Linked DNA regions of Danio rerio. The protein of the gene in region 3 purifies or fractionates together with the protein of the main gene of each other region. This does not show direct contact. Links are inferred from orthologs where the notes say so. Each region holds a gene or a part of one and is shown on either strand. Other genes may lie near its edges. The genes, in order: wdr75, utp15 and utp4.

What was found.
Region 1: the proteins of utp4 (region 3) and wdr75 purify together in Homo sapiens (co-immunoprecipitation; 3 studies listed by BioGRID and IntAct, counting the BioPlex papers as one, with this or other methods). This does not show direct contact. The link is inferred for Danio rerio from reciprocal best matches to the Homo sapiens genes UTP4 and WDR75.
Region 2: the proteins of utp4 (region 3) and utp15 purify together in Homo sapiens (co-immunoprecipitation; 4 studies listed by BioGRID and IntAct, counting the BioPlex papers as one, with this or other methods). This does not show direct contact. The link is inferred for Danio rerio from reciprocal best matches to the Homo sapiens genes UTP4 and UTP15.

What each region holds. Positions count from the first base shown.
Region 1 is NC_133184.1:42,851,152-42,856,528, forward strand, and holds part of wdr75 (WD repeat-containing protein 75), read right to left. Parts: exon of another isoform or gene 3,907-5,377; coding exon 3,811-3,906; intron 3,382-3,810; coding exon 3,212-3,381; intron 845-3,211; coding exon 785-844; intron 690-784; coding exon 546-689; exon of another isoform or gene 1-545. UniProt on the Homo sapiens protein: Ribosome biogenesis factor. Part of the small subunit (SSU) processome, first precursor of the small eukaryotic ribosomal subunit.
Region 2 is NC_133193.1:8,205,744-8,211,120, forward strand, and holds part of utp15 (U3 small nucleolar RNA-associated protein 15 homolog), read right to left. Parts: intron 5,279-5,377; coding exon 5,123-5,278; intron 3,668-5,122; coding exon 3,566-3,667; intron 2,937-3,565; coding exon 2,803-2,936; intron 1-2,802. UniProt on the Homo sapiens protein: Ribosome biogenesis factor. Involved in nucleolar processing of pre-18S ribosomal RNA. Required for optimal pre-ribosomal RNA transcription by RNA polymerase I.
Region 3 is NC_133193.1:15,974,588-15,979,964, reverse strand, and holds part of utp4 (U3 small nucleolar RNA-associated protein 4 homolog), read right to left. Parts: intron 4,717-5,377; coding exon 4,632-4,716; intron 3,363-4,631; coding exon 3,273-3,362; intron 3,192-3,272; coding exon 2,980-3,191; intron 2,343-2,979; coding exon 2,171-2,342; intron 2,077-2,170; coding exon 1,985-2,076; intron 1,893-1,984; coding exon 1,796-1,892; intron 1-1,795. UniProt on the Homo sapiens protein: Ribosome biogenesis factor. Involved in nucleolar processing of pre-18S ribosomal RNA. Part of the small subunit (SSU) processome, first precursor of the small eukaryotic ribosomal subunit.

The DNA.
Region 1 (5,377 bases), on a different chromosome or scaffold from region 3:
CAACCACCACCAGCCTGAATTCTTAATACAAGGCAGGATGGATCCATGCTTTCATGTTGCTGATGTCAAATTCTGACCCTACCATCCGAATGTCGCAGCAGAAACTGAGACTCATCAGACCAGGCAATGTTTCTCCAATCTTCTAGTACAATTTGGGCGAGCCTGTGCGAATGGTAGCCTCAGTTTTTCGGTTTTTAGCTGACTGGTGTGGCACCCGCTGTGTTCTTCTAGCGCTGTAGCCCATTGTATGTTTTCCTATGATGTCAAAGCTGAATTTTTTTAGCATCATCGCTCCAGTCAGTTATGCAGTCCTTTAGAAGTCGTTTTAAAATGCTGATCTGATGCTCAAGAAACAAGTTTGGCCTAATTTTAAAGCAATTGTAATACTTTTTTGTCATGTTTTGTGATGAATAGAGAGTTACATAGAAAATCTTTTTTTTAAACACTTTTGTAACACTCAGAAAGCCTTTACTGTCTCCTTTAATCAATTTATATAGATGTTTTGCAGAATAATCCCCCTTATAATGGCAATAAAATGGACTTGCCTGTTTGATGGTGACCGATCCCTGTGTGTGTTGAGGTTTGTCTGCTGGTTCTTGAGTCTCTGTGTTGAGTTTGTGCTGCTGTTTCCGGTGTCTGCCCAACAGCAGGTAAAACGGTGTTACAGCAACACTCTCATCAATCACAAGCTGCACCAAGGAGAGACACAGTTACTCTTAGAGCCATTCACAATTAATGAGCAGAATGGAGGTGTAAGGTTAAAAACAACAACAAAAGTCCATACCCGCTTACTAGAAGACAACATTCTGTCCTCTTCTGTTGCTGAGCTGAAGGTCAACAAATCCTAATAAATTGAACACAGACCATTTTAGCCAGAATGTGAGTATTTAGTATTAACAGTATTAATTATGAGTAATATTTCATAGAGAAATAATTATAATAATTATATGCAATTACAATACAAATTTGTATATTTTACTTGACAAAAGAAAACACAGGGTTCCACATTATATAAAATAAGCCATATATATATTTATTTATATGAAGAGTTCAGACGCAAAAGCCGCTTAAGGCCACTTCTTTTTTTTTTTTTACTTTTGTTTTTTATTCGTTTTAACATAACGGAACAAACAGATAACCAGAGGCATCACATACAACTATTACATTCTTCTTATACAGTCGTTTTTATAGTACAGGTTACTCTCCCATTAGCCCCCCACTCCAACCCGCCCGTAAAAGGTACTGTATTATAAGCATAAACACCAACATAGTTTCCTTCAAGTCCACATGATTTAGTCTTTTACAATCTGTAATGTGCGGTCCAAACAAAATATTTCACATATATAATATACATATACATGTACATATATTGAAAAAATAAGTAATAATAAAAATAACAAATATAAATAAATATAAATAAGGGGAGGAGGGGGGTTCGCACTCATAGCAAAGCATTTCCTAGCAAATTATATATTTTCTGTATTAAACGCCACTTCTGCCAAAAATGAGCTTATGACATTGAGTGAATGCTTTAGGCACGTAGTACATGTTCAACAAATAGTTTTGCTTGAAATCATCTAAATCGCAGCATCAGCGCATTCAGAAGTAACAGTTTGTTTACACCACCTGCCTTTGACAGCAAAAGCCGCTACATCTCAAGAACCATAGAAGGTGCGAATCAAATCACGTTTTCAATGCAGCAGCGTGCTGATACGCCGGCTTTATGAGGAGAGTGTTTTATTTAGCTTCCGATTAAGATTCTAAATAACAGAGCTTGATGAACTGGATGAGCCTCTCCAACTGTCAGTGAATGGCAAATGAAAACGTCTCTTACCTCAAAACTCTGTGCATTTTAAGAAAAAGAAAACATAATGTACAGTCAGAAGTGTAGCTTGCATTCATAAAGTTTTTTGCGCAGCGATACTACTTTGAATGAACTGCATTTCATAAAAGACAGAGTTAAGAGGCTGTTCTTTTATCCCACATGGATGCCATGAGGATAAACGAGATGAAAAGGAGACCAAGACAGTGATTATGGTGAGAACGAATGACAGCTTCAAATAGTGTCTGAGAGGCATCCCCTGTTTGCTCAGTAGGCCTACCATGTGTTTTATGTTCTAATATAAGCTATTTTTTTTTAAAGACAAATATAATGTATGAAACTATACTTTTTTGTATTACTTCATACTACATAAACGCCAAACAAGCTTTTTATATTAAAGGACAACGCACAGATATCAATGTTTCACAATGTGTTTACATAATTTGAATCTAACAAGCTTAGTGTAAAATATTTGCAATGTTTACATCGCTCTACTTACAATAAAATAAATAAAATAAATAATAATAAAAAAAAAAACAACAACAACAGATAGTTAGGATTTAATTAATGTTTATTTTAATGTTATTGTTTTGATTCATTTATTTTCCTTTAGTCTCTGGTTTATCATAGGTTACCACAGCGAAATGAACCGCCACACACTTGACAGATTTATATATTTTAAGTTTTAGATGGTCTTTGTAATGTGTTTTATGTTTAGTAAAATAATTTATACTTGCATCTTGTGATTTTTCAACTGATTGCACAGATTGTCCCAATAGATGGATTTAGAGGTTATGCAATAAAAGCAGACGTGGATTTAGCTGGATTTGACACAAAAGAAAATGTACCTTGTTAAAAACCAAAGAATTGTCTAAAGGGACATTTTTTGAAAAAAAAGAGCTATTTGTATATCCCAACTAATAACTTTCATTATCTATAAAATGAAACTTCTGAGCCTAATTATAGGAGCCTGATAGAAAATGCCCATTTACAAGAAAAAAGGTCTAATGGATTTAGAGGGTTTTGCATCTGAACTCATAATTTATATACATATACATGCATACACACACACACACACACACACACACACACTTTATAAAATGTGCAACCCTGTGTTTTTTAATGTCGAGACCCCTTCTTACCTTCTTTGTAAATGAAACCCCCCTATTTTTTATTTATATTCTTCTATTATTAATTAGCATATTTTTTGTTTGTTGGGATAATTGTAATGTTATAGCTGCTTAAATATCTGTATTCCATTATTATACTGTATGTTTAAAACCAGCAGATTATACTATATATTTTACGCCATGCACTTATTGTTATCCAAGTATCAGCTTAATAATAAAAAAAAAGGACATGTTTTGACTCTAGGTATGACTGAAGTACCATGTTGTGTGTGAGGAAGTAGAGCTGAGATCTGTTGAGCCACTGACAGCTTTCATCACAACTGTTGAACGGCTCTTCTCGAGGAACAAACACGGCTCGATCCACCCTTTCTAGACACACGTATCTCTGGCTGAACAAAGGCCGTGGCTCGCTGGGCTTGAACACAAACACTGAACACACACCAGAGAAGACATTAAACAGCAGCTTGTGATCAATTAAAGGCGTTTATGCTCTTGTCAATTTTCAGATTTCTGCCATTTTCAGTCTAATGCAAAGAAAACATCCATAATGCACTTTAATGCGTTTCATTTGTCACACTTTATCAAATTGTGTCTGTATTTTTGTATCCTAAATTATTACAATACATTTTATTAAAGGTTTGCAGTTTCATCATCTATATTTTGAAGGTTATGACACAACATTGTTCATTTAAATTTTAGCTAATTGTACAACACATTATTGATTTTATATTTTATTTTTACTGAATTATAAAGTGACAAAAAGAGATTTCCAAAAGAGCACCAATAAAAAAAAAAAAAACACACATTACTTCTAACCAAACACTAAAGAGATGTAGGTGATGACCTTTAAACACTTACGGTGTGTGTGTTTAGACTCGAATGAAAAAGCGGCCACATTTTCTGACAAAGGGTCCGACTGCAGCCTGGAAACATCCACAGATGTGCTCCATTCCACTGTGAACCACCGAGATGAAACCAAACAGTGAATAAAACCAGACATAAACTTACTTGGTTACCCACAGAAAATAGTGCTTCACCTTAAATAATAGTCCTAGCATCATTAACTCACTGTCATATTATTTCCAGTGATCCATAATATATTGGCATTAGCCATTAAATGCTTAGATTAATCATAATCAGTCTGCTAAGAAAACTTAATAGGCTCATAAAAGTGATTTCAACTTTAGAGTAGAGGTCTGTGCAGGATTTTTTAGTCCTGCTCCTGAGAGGTTTTATTCCACACCCGACCGCTCCAGCTGTATATTCAGTCTTTATTCAACTGCTGCCAGCCTAGAATAATTTTCTACTAGACCTGACCGTTCTTGCTAAATTTACATCCGGTTTCCAAACTCTCACGATAAAACTGGGTACTACCAAAAGAAAGAGATAACAGATAAAACTTTGGATTGTGCAAGGATAGTAGGGTAAATGTCCGTTTAGTTTCATGAGTCTCATTACAAAGCGGCCTTAAACCTGAGGTTCCAGTCTTGTGATTTTTAAAGGGTAAAACTGTGAGGTATTATCACATCGTGCAAAGGGTGAATTTTTCCATTTGCATCTATGAAACATCAAAAAGACTCCCATACATCAGACTTGCCTGATGTGGGTTTTAAATAAATTAAATTCATGTTTATTTCTATAGCACTTTTACAACGTAGATTGTGTCAAAGCAGCTTAACATAGACTTTCTAGTAAATTGAAACTGGGTCAGTCCAGTTTTTAGAGTTGAAGTTCAGTTCAGTGTGGTTTAAATTTCCCTGCTGAAAGTCCAAACACTGAAGAGCAAATCCACCGATGTCCCAAACCAAGCAAGCCATTAGTGAGGAACAAACTTCACCAATTGACGAAGTGGAGGAAAAAAACCTGGAGAGAAACCAGGCTCAGTTAGGCACGACCATTTCTCCTCTGGACAATTCTTGTGCAAAGATCTAGGCAGTCTAGGCAGCAGAGGCTGGAGAACGCTGGACGTCCACTGTGGAGAGCCGCAGGTGAGTTCAGGCTGGCCCACAGGATCAAGCGGAGTCTGTCACAGGGCTCTTTCAGAGTCTCATGCTCTTCACTCTTCTATGACCACCACAGCATCAGCTCAAGATACAACTTAGTCCAGGATTATGGATGGCATCATTTCTTCAAAGGTCTTTGCTAACAGTAAACTGACCGTTTTCTTAATGCAAGCAGAAGGTCAGCGCATCTTCAGTTTGCTCTACAACGTTGGTGAAGCCCGCTCTGATGCACGCACAGACTGTGCAGGAAAAAAGCATGTGCTTTCAATAAGAAAGAGGAAATCACAGATATGCCATTCTGAAATAACGTTGGGACTTGAGAATGCTATATTGTTATACGCCCTCTCCCGTTCAAATTACACCAGAGTTACCGTCCGCTACCATGTTTTATTTGGAAATTTGCAGACCTCTACTTCAGAGCA
Region 2 (5,377 bases), about 7.8 Mb from region 3:
TCCCGATCAATATACTGGGGTATTAGAACTCACACAAACTGCAGGTTTAGTGCCCCTTAACTGGTCTCGCTAACTAAACAGGTTTGTTTGATGTCATAGTGCGGTACGTTTAGCTAGTGTGAACGTGTGTTCTGAACTCAGGTGCACCGCCAACTGTACAACAAACTATGGTTTTCATAACGTTCGTTTGTGTGTGCGTGTGTCTGTGTCACGTTTCGTACCTTGGCGACACGTGCGGACTGAGCCAGGGCAAATACAGTAATACACAGTGTGTGCTTGTCTCCTCCAAAAACGTTTCTGCAGCTTCTGTGATGTTCTGAATGTTTATAAAATTTTTGCAGCAGATGGACGCGAGTCACTGTCTCTATGTTCAAAACCAAAAGTTTCAGTTGAAGCAGAATGACCGCGATGTGCGGATATCTTCCCATTTCATCGGTTTGCTTTCGTGACTGTCACTTAGCAATGGCCGTAAACAAAACAGCAGTTTGATGACGCAAGCGTACCGGGCTTCAGAAGGAAAAAAGACGGTGTGAACACAAACCAACCGAGAAGGTGGCAAGGGGAGACAATCGAACTTGGGTACAGTGCAGGCAATTGAACAAAGAGTGAAAGCACCCCCCTAACTTTCCCATGTGGTCTCCCATCCAGGACGCAGCCCTACTTGGTTTCAGTGGGCGACCATGAGTTGCAGAGAGCTAGCTGCCAGTCATTAAGATTATGATCTTATTCTACATCCCGATTCCCTAATCCTACCAATACCTAAACCCAACTACTACCTTGCCAACAATTAATAGGCAGCAAATTAGTAGTTTACTTACATAAAAATCATAGTTAATGGTTTGGAAATGGCAAAAATTGTAGCTTAAAATAAAGTGACCAAAAAAAGATCTTTTTCAAAAACTAGCTTTTAAAATGTGTATTGTAATTGAAATCTACAGACACAAATTAATAAAAAGTGTGACAAAAGAAACTCTTAAAAGTGTCATTTAAATGTTTTCTTTATAATAGATTGAAGAAAAAACTCCCAAAGAAATCAAAACTGACAGGTACTTGAAACTTTACTTTAGGTACTTTAAATGGCATAAATGTGTTCAGGACACTGGTGACAATGGTGGTTTTCTTCTGTTGTGTGAAGCAGTTCACAGATTTGAGAACCGCCTCAGAATTTCCCTCTGCTTTGATCTTTCTAAGAAGTTCTGGTTTTGTCACAAGAATTGAACATCCTGCATTTCACAGAACATCTGGACAAGGCAAAAAGTACTGCGCCTTTTGCACTAATCCAGCTGCCGTAGACCGATGCGCTGTGCATTATGGGATATGGAGGAAAAATATTTGTTGACAGCGCTTTACCAACAGAGAGAGAGAGAGGGGAAAACATTACCTGATGGATCATTGGTATTATTTACGCAAGATGACCATGTCGCAGTTTAGCTAAATTAACTCACGCCTCCTCCTGAAGTGACGAGCGATGCATTAAAACACTGTTTTCAAGCCGCAGCCGCGCTTCATTCTCAAAATGTATAGTTTGTCTAAAGCAGGGATGCAATCAGTCAGCGCAGTCGTCCCTCCAGAGTAGAAACGACATTTAGTGTCCGCCGGTTTTGTTTACTGGCGGGAGTTCATTGGCATTTTCCCGCACATGAAATCTAACAAATCAATAAGCAGTTTAGGAAATATGTTCAATAACATCTGGCCAATGAGAGAAAACAAAAAGAAGAAATATCTTGAATTAGACGCTTCAATCAAGTTATGCTATGTTCACACTAGAATACGTGGTATGGGTGGATAAATTGTCAATTTGCGCGTAAACATTGAGTTTACTTGATTTATTCACGCGTCAAATCCATTTCATTCGTGCGTCAAATTCACTGAGCAATATAACTTGGGCGGAGCATCTGTCTGCCCGGTGACTGTAGCTTAGTTGCTAAATGGCGAACATTGATTTTAATGAGAGAGTAGCTGTGTTTATGTGCTTTAGGAAGGCGGATAAACAGCATCAATTCATTTGGAGCCGTGTCGGAGTTTACTAGATCCATTCAGAGGTGCACCCAGCCCTGTGAGCTCATTAACTCCTCCGTGTCTGGTGTGAACGCAGCATTAGAGTGGCTGACTGTAATATGGTAACCTATCAAGTAGTATGTAGTATGGTAACTTTAGTATGGTAACCTAGCAACCAACAGTAAACAAGCCACGCATAATGGAGGAAGCTGATTGTAGTGAGTATAATGTTCGCAAGACTCTGAAGTCTGAAGTAATGCGTGTGTGTGTGTGTGTGTGTGTGTGTATACATACAATTAAAGTCAGAATGGTAAGACTTTCAGTGAATTTTTTTCCTTTTTTAAATATTTCCCAAATGATGTTTAACAGAGCAAGGAAATTTTCACAGTATGTCTGATAATATTTTTTCTTCTAGAGAAAGTCTTAATTGTTTAATTTTGGCAAGAATTAAAACAGTTTTTAATATTTTTAAAACCATTTTAAGGTCAATATTATTAGCCTCTTTAAGCTACATTTTTGTAATTGTCTACAAAGCAAACCACCGTTAAACAATAACTTGTTTAATTAACCTAGTTAAGTCTTTTAATGTCACTTTAAGTTTAATACTAGTATCTTGAAAAACATCTAGTATAATATTAATGTACTGTCATCATGGCAAAGATAAAAGAAATCAGTTATTAGAAATAAGTTAAAACTATTATGTTAAGAAAAGTGTTGACAAAAACCTTCTTTCTGTTATGCCTATGAAGAATCCTTGTAAACCACATATAGAAGTGTGTGTGTGTGTGTGTGTGTGATACTCACTTGAGAAGAAAGTTGAGTATCTTGGTTAAGCTCACTTCATCTCGCCCAGCGAGGGCGTTTTTCAGTGTTCCTCTGCGGTTCAGCTCCATTATTACTGCGACCGTCACCTCTGGTTTAGTAGTTCGCGTCCATGTCTGCGAAAACACAAAAACATACACTGATATCTTCATCTGAGTAATCAAACCAAATAAGCACATTTGGTCACAATTATTAGCCCCCCGTACATTTTGTTCCTCAATTTCTGTTTAACAGAGAGAAGATTTTTTTCAACACATTTCTAAACGTAATAGTTTTAATACCTCATTTCTAATAACTGATTTATTTTATCTTTGCCATGATGACAGTACATATTATTTGACTAGATGTTTTTCAAGATACTAGTATTAAGCTTAAAGTGACATTTAAAGGCTTAACTAGGTTAATTAAGCAGGTTAGGGTAATTAGGCAAATCATTGTATAACGATGGTTTGTCCTGTAGACAATCAAAAAACAATATTGCTCGAGGGGGCTAATAATATTGACCTTAAAATGTTTGTTAATAAATTAAAAACTGCTTTTATTCTAGCTGAAAAAAACAAATAAAACTTTCTCCAGAAGAAAAATATTATCAGACATACTGTGAAAATCTCCTTGCTCTGTCAAACATCATTTGCAAAATATTTAAAAAAGAAAAACAATTCACAGGGGGCGAATCATTCTGACTGCAACTTTATGTACTTTTTTTTTTTTTTAGATATTATTGTATATAAAGCTTCATGTTCACCTCAAGCGCAGTGTCCAGGGCTTTGGAGACCTCAAATCTTTTCAGCTGTTTGTCGTATTTCTGTAGATGCTGCCTCACTGGTTTACTGACCAGGAAATCATCCTAAAAGAGATGAGAATAGAGTTAGTGTAGATGATAATATAAATTTAATATGTTTCTTGTTTTATTTGTTGGTGTAAACAAGCCTTAAGAAAATTGATTTAGTAATTAAAAAAAAAAAAGTAAAATGTTTATCTAAAAAAATTTTCAATTATAAAATATAATTTTTTCCCCTAAAAAGCATACACTCACTGGCCACTTTACTAATTTCAACCTTACTAATACAAGGGGTTGGACCCCCTTTTGCCTCCTGAATTCCCTTAATCATGGCATAGATTCAACTAGATACTGGAAATATTCCTCAGAGATTTTGGTCCATATTGAGATGATAGCATCACGCAGTTGCTGCAGATTTGTCGGCTGCACATCCATGATGCGAATCTCCCGTTCCACCACATCCCAAAGATGCTCTATTGGATTGAGCTCTGGTGACTGTGTACAGTGAACTCATCATCATGTCCAGGAAACCAGTATGAGATCATTCGTGCTTTATGACATGGTGTGTTATCCTGCTGGAAATAGCCATCAGAAGATAGGTACACTGTGGTTATAAAGGGATGGACATGGTCAGCAACATTATTCAGGTAGGCTGTGGCGTTGACACAATGTTTAATTGGTACTAATGGGCCCAAAGTGTGTCAAGAAAAATATCCCCTACACAATCACACCACCACCAGCAGCCTGAACCACTGATACAAGGCAGGATGGATCCATGCTTTCATGTTGTTGATGCCAAATTCTGACCCTACCATCCGAATGTCACAGCAGAAATAGAGACTCATCAGACCAGGCAATGTTTCTCCAATCTTCTTTTGTCTAATTTTGGTGAGCCTGTGTGAATTGTAGCCTCAGTTTCCTGTTCTTAGCTGGCAGAAGTGGCACCCAGTGTTGTGCATTCAGAGATGTTCTTCTGAATACCTCGGTTGTAATGAGTGAATTTTTTTTGAGTTACTGTTGCCTTCCTATCAGCTGGAACCAGTCTGGCCATTCTCCTCTGACCTCTGGCATCAACAATGCATTTGCACCCACAGAACTGGCGCTCACTGGATATTTTCTCTTTTTCTGATCATTCTCTGTAAACCCTAGATATGGTTGTGCATGAAAATCCCAGTAGATCAGCAGTTTCTGAAATACTCAGACCAGCCCGTCTGCCACCACCAACCATGCCACATTCAAAGTCAATTAAATCACCTTTCTCCCCCATTTTGATGCTCGGTTTAAACTGCAGCAGGTCGTCTTGATCATGTCTACATGCCTAAATGCATTGAGTTGCTGCCATGTGATTGGCTGATTAGAAATTTGAGTTAACTAGCAGTTGGACAGGTGTACCGAATAAAGTGGCCGGTGAGTGTAAATAATATATTTTGTAATACATGCATCATATAATATAATATTTTGAACTTATATTTCTTAAACTCAAGTTAAAGTGAGAAAAAATTATTAATGCAAATATAATACCTGTCTAGGCACAAAGTTTTTCCCCTTAACAAAGAAGCGGTACGACGGACCGCGTTTCCTTCGACCTGTTAAAGCTTCTTTCTCTTCTTTGTGTTTCCTGTGTCTGATGCTCAACACACCATTGGTCATTCCTACAGCGACTGCTTCATCATCAGGCTAGAGGAAAAACCACAATAAACAACACCTTACACCAAGAGCAAGTGGAAATAACACTTATATTATTATATGCAAACATTTCCTTCAGTGTAATGAGCT
Region 3 (5,377 bases):
TTATTCTGTCAAAACAGGAATTGTGTAAAATAATAATTTGGGGATAAATCACATAAAAAAGAAAAATCTCTCTCTTACCCTTTCACTTGTTTCAAACCTTTATGATTTTATTTCTTCTGTTGAACACAAAAGAAGATATATATTAAAAAGCTTAAAACCTGTAACCATAGACTCACATAGTATGTGTTTTTCCTACTATGGAAGTTAGTGATTACAGGTTTTCATCTTTCTTTAAAATATCTTCTTTTTGTGTTCAACAGAATAATGAAATATTCATTTAAAGTAAAAGTTTCAATGTCTTTCTTTCTTTCTTTCTTTCTTATATAGAATACTTTGATGAACTAAAGATGAAAAACAACTACATCATTTTCTTTGTGCAAAGTTGTAAATATCTTCACAGCATCTTTTGCTCAAATATGTCTTTGCTGATTAAAACTAAGAGTTTTTAAAATGACTAAAACAATATTTTACTGGCTGTGAATATTCAGGTAGTTGTATTAATTAACATACTTCATATTTCATAGTTTTATGACTTTACTATGAAACATAATTTCCCTCTATTGTGAATTATGGTAGAGAATGACTAGGAGCCCTATCATACACTGCGAAATAGGCACAAGACATGTATGGCGCAATTTGTTGCTGTTTTCAGACCAGAGCAACAGTAATTTTTATGTTTGCACCATGATGTTTAAATAGCAAATTAATTTGCACCACTTTGTGCACTTATAGATGTGTCGGTCTAAAATAAAGGTGTGTTAAGGCGCATTCTTGGTGTGTTGCTATTTTGAAGAACTGAAATAGACCGCACCATTGACCAACTAAAAGCTGGTCTAAAGTCCAGCACAGAGAGCATTAGTTATGCGCCTATATGGGTCCAAACACTAACACATTGCTTAATACACACAGGATGTACAGCAATACACAAATATCTTTACATATAAAAAAAAAAAAACTAAAGGATTAAAAGGTTATAAAAATTTGCATTTTCTACATTAATGTAAAAACCACTAGATCCAAGCCTTCATCTCGAGGGGCTTTTTTCAGTTTATTCATGACAATTTGCATTTGTATAATATTATTATTAGCAGTATTATTTATTATATGCATATTTATTTTAGTTTTAATAAAAACAAGTTTAGATTTGTCAACCTGTGCGGTTTTGGGGAGTAACGATAAGTCCCGTCTTTGCATAGAACTCCAAAAACTAATAGTTTTTTGACCACGCTTTGTTATTATTGTTCATTTATTTGTTTGCTGGAAATTAGAACTGAATTTAAAAACAGTTTTGAAACAAATCTTTGCACTTAACAAATAAAATTAAATAAGTAGGCTAATGGATGTCTTCAGTGGAATGAGTGGAGTGGCGAGAAAAGAGGCAGAATGGAGGAGGCTCGTTCTTTATAATGCGCTGCAGATCATCTGTTTAACTGTTTTTTCGCTAGTGAAGCATTCAGCTTTTCCACTTAAAAACACAGCTATGTGAATAGCAAATGCACCATTGTGCGACACAACTGACTCTTATGGAATGGGAGATGAGACTCTGATTGTTTAATGCATGTTATGCTCAAAACACACCCAGAACTCATTAAGAGAATAAACATGACCCTTTTAGACGATGCACCAGGGCACAGACCATATTTTTCCATCCTTAAAATAGACAAAAGTGAATTCAGACACACAATTAATGCTTTTGCGCCATGCACTTTAGACTTTGCGCTTAGATCTTTAAAATAGAGCCCTTAGGGTCTCCCAGGTATTCGATATCTGCTATGGCACTGAATATGATCTTCACCTTCTCCTTCGCTCTCCCCAAGTCTCCAGAGCTCCAAATGACCAGGGTACTGGAACAGTAACGTGCCTGCCTTCCTTGCACAGGACACCAAACTCCTCTTTAATGCAACAGGGCAGAACAAAAAGCCTCACATTAAGAGTCATTTACAAACATTTCTATGTGAAAAAAACACAAATGCACAATACTCACATGTGGAAACTGAATCTTCCGCAGCTTAGAGGCTGATGACTTCACTTCATGCTTGTCTAACAAAGGTCTCACAACCAACTGTGTGTCCATACCTGAGAAGAGAACAATGCATTTGCTCATTTCAGAATCTGAAACAAAACTGATAGATTGACTGTTTTAACTATTAAATGAAAAAAATTAACTCGCCTCCTGAAACCACAGCTGTTGTGATCTCAGCCACAGCTCGAACATCATGTGTGTGGTTCCTGAATGTTCTGGTTCTGACCCAATCTTTCTCATTATTTTCCAAAACCATAGAAAGAAACTGGAACTGCACCACAAATCCTTCTGACGTCCCAGCCACGATACTGTCCTCATTCTGTCATTCAAGAGGGTACAATAATCAGCTTTCTGTCTGTATTCCCAAAGCATGTCAGGTAAAACTGAACAAAAATGTACACGTATACTACTTTTCAAAAGGTTGTGATCAGTAAGGTGTGTTTTGAAAGAAATTTTAACTTTTATTTAGCAAGAATGATTCATTTGATAAATTCTATGAAATAAATGAAGCTTTTTATTTTCATTTACTTTTCATAAAAGATTTTCACCCCCCCCTCCCCATCACCTAAACCCAAAAAAGTTGGATCCAATTTCCCACAAAAATATTAAATCACACTGTATTTTAACATTTTTTAAATTAACAACCAATAATTGTATTGATTATGTCACACTGAAGACTTTAGTAAAGAAGATTTTCCATTAAAACCAAAATATTACATTTGCAAATGTTAAAATAATTTTGAAAAAGTTGTTATAAATTCTAATAAAATTTCAGCAATAAAACTAATTGAACTATTTTGTGGAATATAATTTTTTTTTCTTATTAACATTATATATTTTTTATTATTTAATTAATTTATTTTAAGTTCAAATCTTACCGATCTCAAACTTTTGGTAAGTACTATTTGAAGTCATAAATGTGATACTGTAACATCAACATGCAGCCATGTTCTCACCTGAGACACTGATAACGAAAGCACATCCGATTTTGTAATATTGTGGCTTTTGATCAGTGTACCAGTGTCATCCCTCCACATTTTCACCATTCCCACAGAGTCTCCGCTGATGATGGTCCCATCTGAAAGGTAGACCACACTCCACACTACACACTCCTTACCGCGGGACGTCCCGTACCCTCTGTCCACCAATATCCGATGTTTAGAGTGGCCTAAAATTCAATCAAACTTTGGATGACATCATCACTCACAAGTTTATGCAACATATTCAATAATAGAGCCATGCTTTTTACCTGTCTCCACATTGAAAACTTGGATCATATCCATCATTCCCGCTGCTATTTTGGACCCTGAAGGGTGCCAGGATAGAGATATAATCCGGCCTGTAATAGAGTAATCAGATATTGTTCTAAAATGCAGTTTTTCTGTTTTAAGGTTAAACTGCATTCAACTATGGCATTTTGCACATTATAAATAGCATTTACTGTAACTACAAGAGTAAATAATGTATAAATAACAAGAAAAATGAAGATATGTACATACACTTTAAGCTTTGAGCAATAAGCACAGAAAAAAATGACTGTAAATGACTATAAGGTACCTTATGTTCCATTTACACCTAAAGCCTGGTTTACACTTCTGCGTCAAGTGACCGGCGTGACCCACGGCGCATGCAACGCGCGTAGCTGTGCATTTATACTTCTGCGCGCTGTCTCTGTTGGTCTGAATTAACACTTCCGAAACGCTAGTGGGCAGTGAGGTGTTAATGTTCCTCTGTGTCGAGTTTCTTCTCTGCTGTTTTGCTTTTCCTGAACACTTCCTGGATGTACAAGTGGCTCAAACTCGCTCATTGTGAGGCAGGAACTGGCGGACGTGCAACAACTTTAACTATGAGGTAAACACAAAACAAAACTTTCCATCTGGAGCTCCTTCACAGGATTCCACAGTTGTAAACAATCGCTCCATTGTGCTCGCGTCCTGCTTGCGCCATTCGCGCGGCTCTTGGTCCCGCCCAGACTCGTCAGCGCTACCAAGCCGACCAATCACAGAGCTTGCGCTACGCGCCGTTGCAACGTGTAGTTACAATTTTTGAGAGGTGCACGTCAGCGACGCCGACGGCCATGGCGAAGGGCTATGCGTCAGCGCCGTTTGACGCAGAAGTATAAATCAGCCTTAATGTTAAGCTGTTTTTTTGTCATCAATCAGATTGTTGTTTTTATATGAAAGCTGTTAAATACAAAACTCACTCACTTTCAAGCACTTTTAGAGGTGGTTAAAATAAATTTAATTGTTTACAATTACACTTGAATTCAATAGAATTTTAAACTTGCCACAATAGACTACCTAACTCTTTGCCTACTGACTTATCACGATTAATACAAAATTCACCAAAAATAAACAAAACAAGCTACTCAAGCTTCGCTCTATTGCACCACACTGCATAGATTACAATTGAAATTGTAGTTGCCATGCACATCATTTTAATTTACTTAAATTTCTGCTCGCCCAAAAACATATTACATAGTTCATTCAACAGAGAGAAAGGTGAAAAATCTAAGAAATCTAACATACAAGAAACCCATCTGAACACAATGACAATAATGGCAGGTGGAAACAGAGGCTGAAAAACAGAGGCTGAACAACAATCTCACCTTTCTGTCTGTCCAGATTTCTCTCAAACTGTATTTTGTCTTCAGTCACCTCAAATAGTTTCACAGTTCCATCTTCACAACCAACCTGCAAACATAAAGATTTAAAAACTTCAAAAGTTTTACTTATGGTATCTTTCTGTAAAATAAATTATCTTTATTTGTTTGTTTACATATAGCTTTATCGATGATTCTTTGACAAATATCCTTATTCCACACAAACGGTTTCCCTCCAGTGCTGCAAACTTAAATTTATGAGCAAATTAACAATATATGTAACATTTGTATAATTAAACTACTGCTTCCTTTCCATCTGTTTAAAATAATAATACTGTCACATCCTGTGAATCAAGCCCAGTATATCAATAATACAAATTTAAATTCTTGCAAACATTGCCATCGTTGACATATCCATGTTCAATATCTAGCTCACCCAAAAAATTGAATTTACTCACGCTCAAGTGATTACAAACTTTTATACGTTTCTTTATTCTGTTGAACACAAAATATATTTACAAAAATTCTGAAAGCCAGTAACCACAGACTTCCATAGTAGGAAAAAAAACAATCCTATGAGTTCAATGGTTAAAGGCTTCCAGCTTCCCTAAAAATAGCTTTTTGTGTTCAACAAAAGAAAGTAAAAGTGGTTTGTTACGAGTAAAATGTAAATTATGACAGAATTTTTATCTTTTTGGGAAATTATCCCTTTAAAAGTACAAAAATTGGTCAGTTTTACTATAACTAGCCCT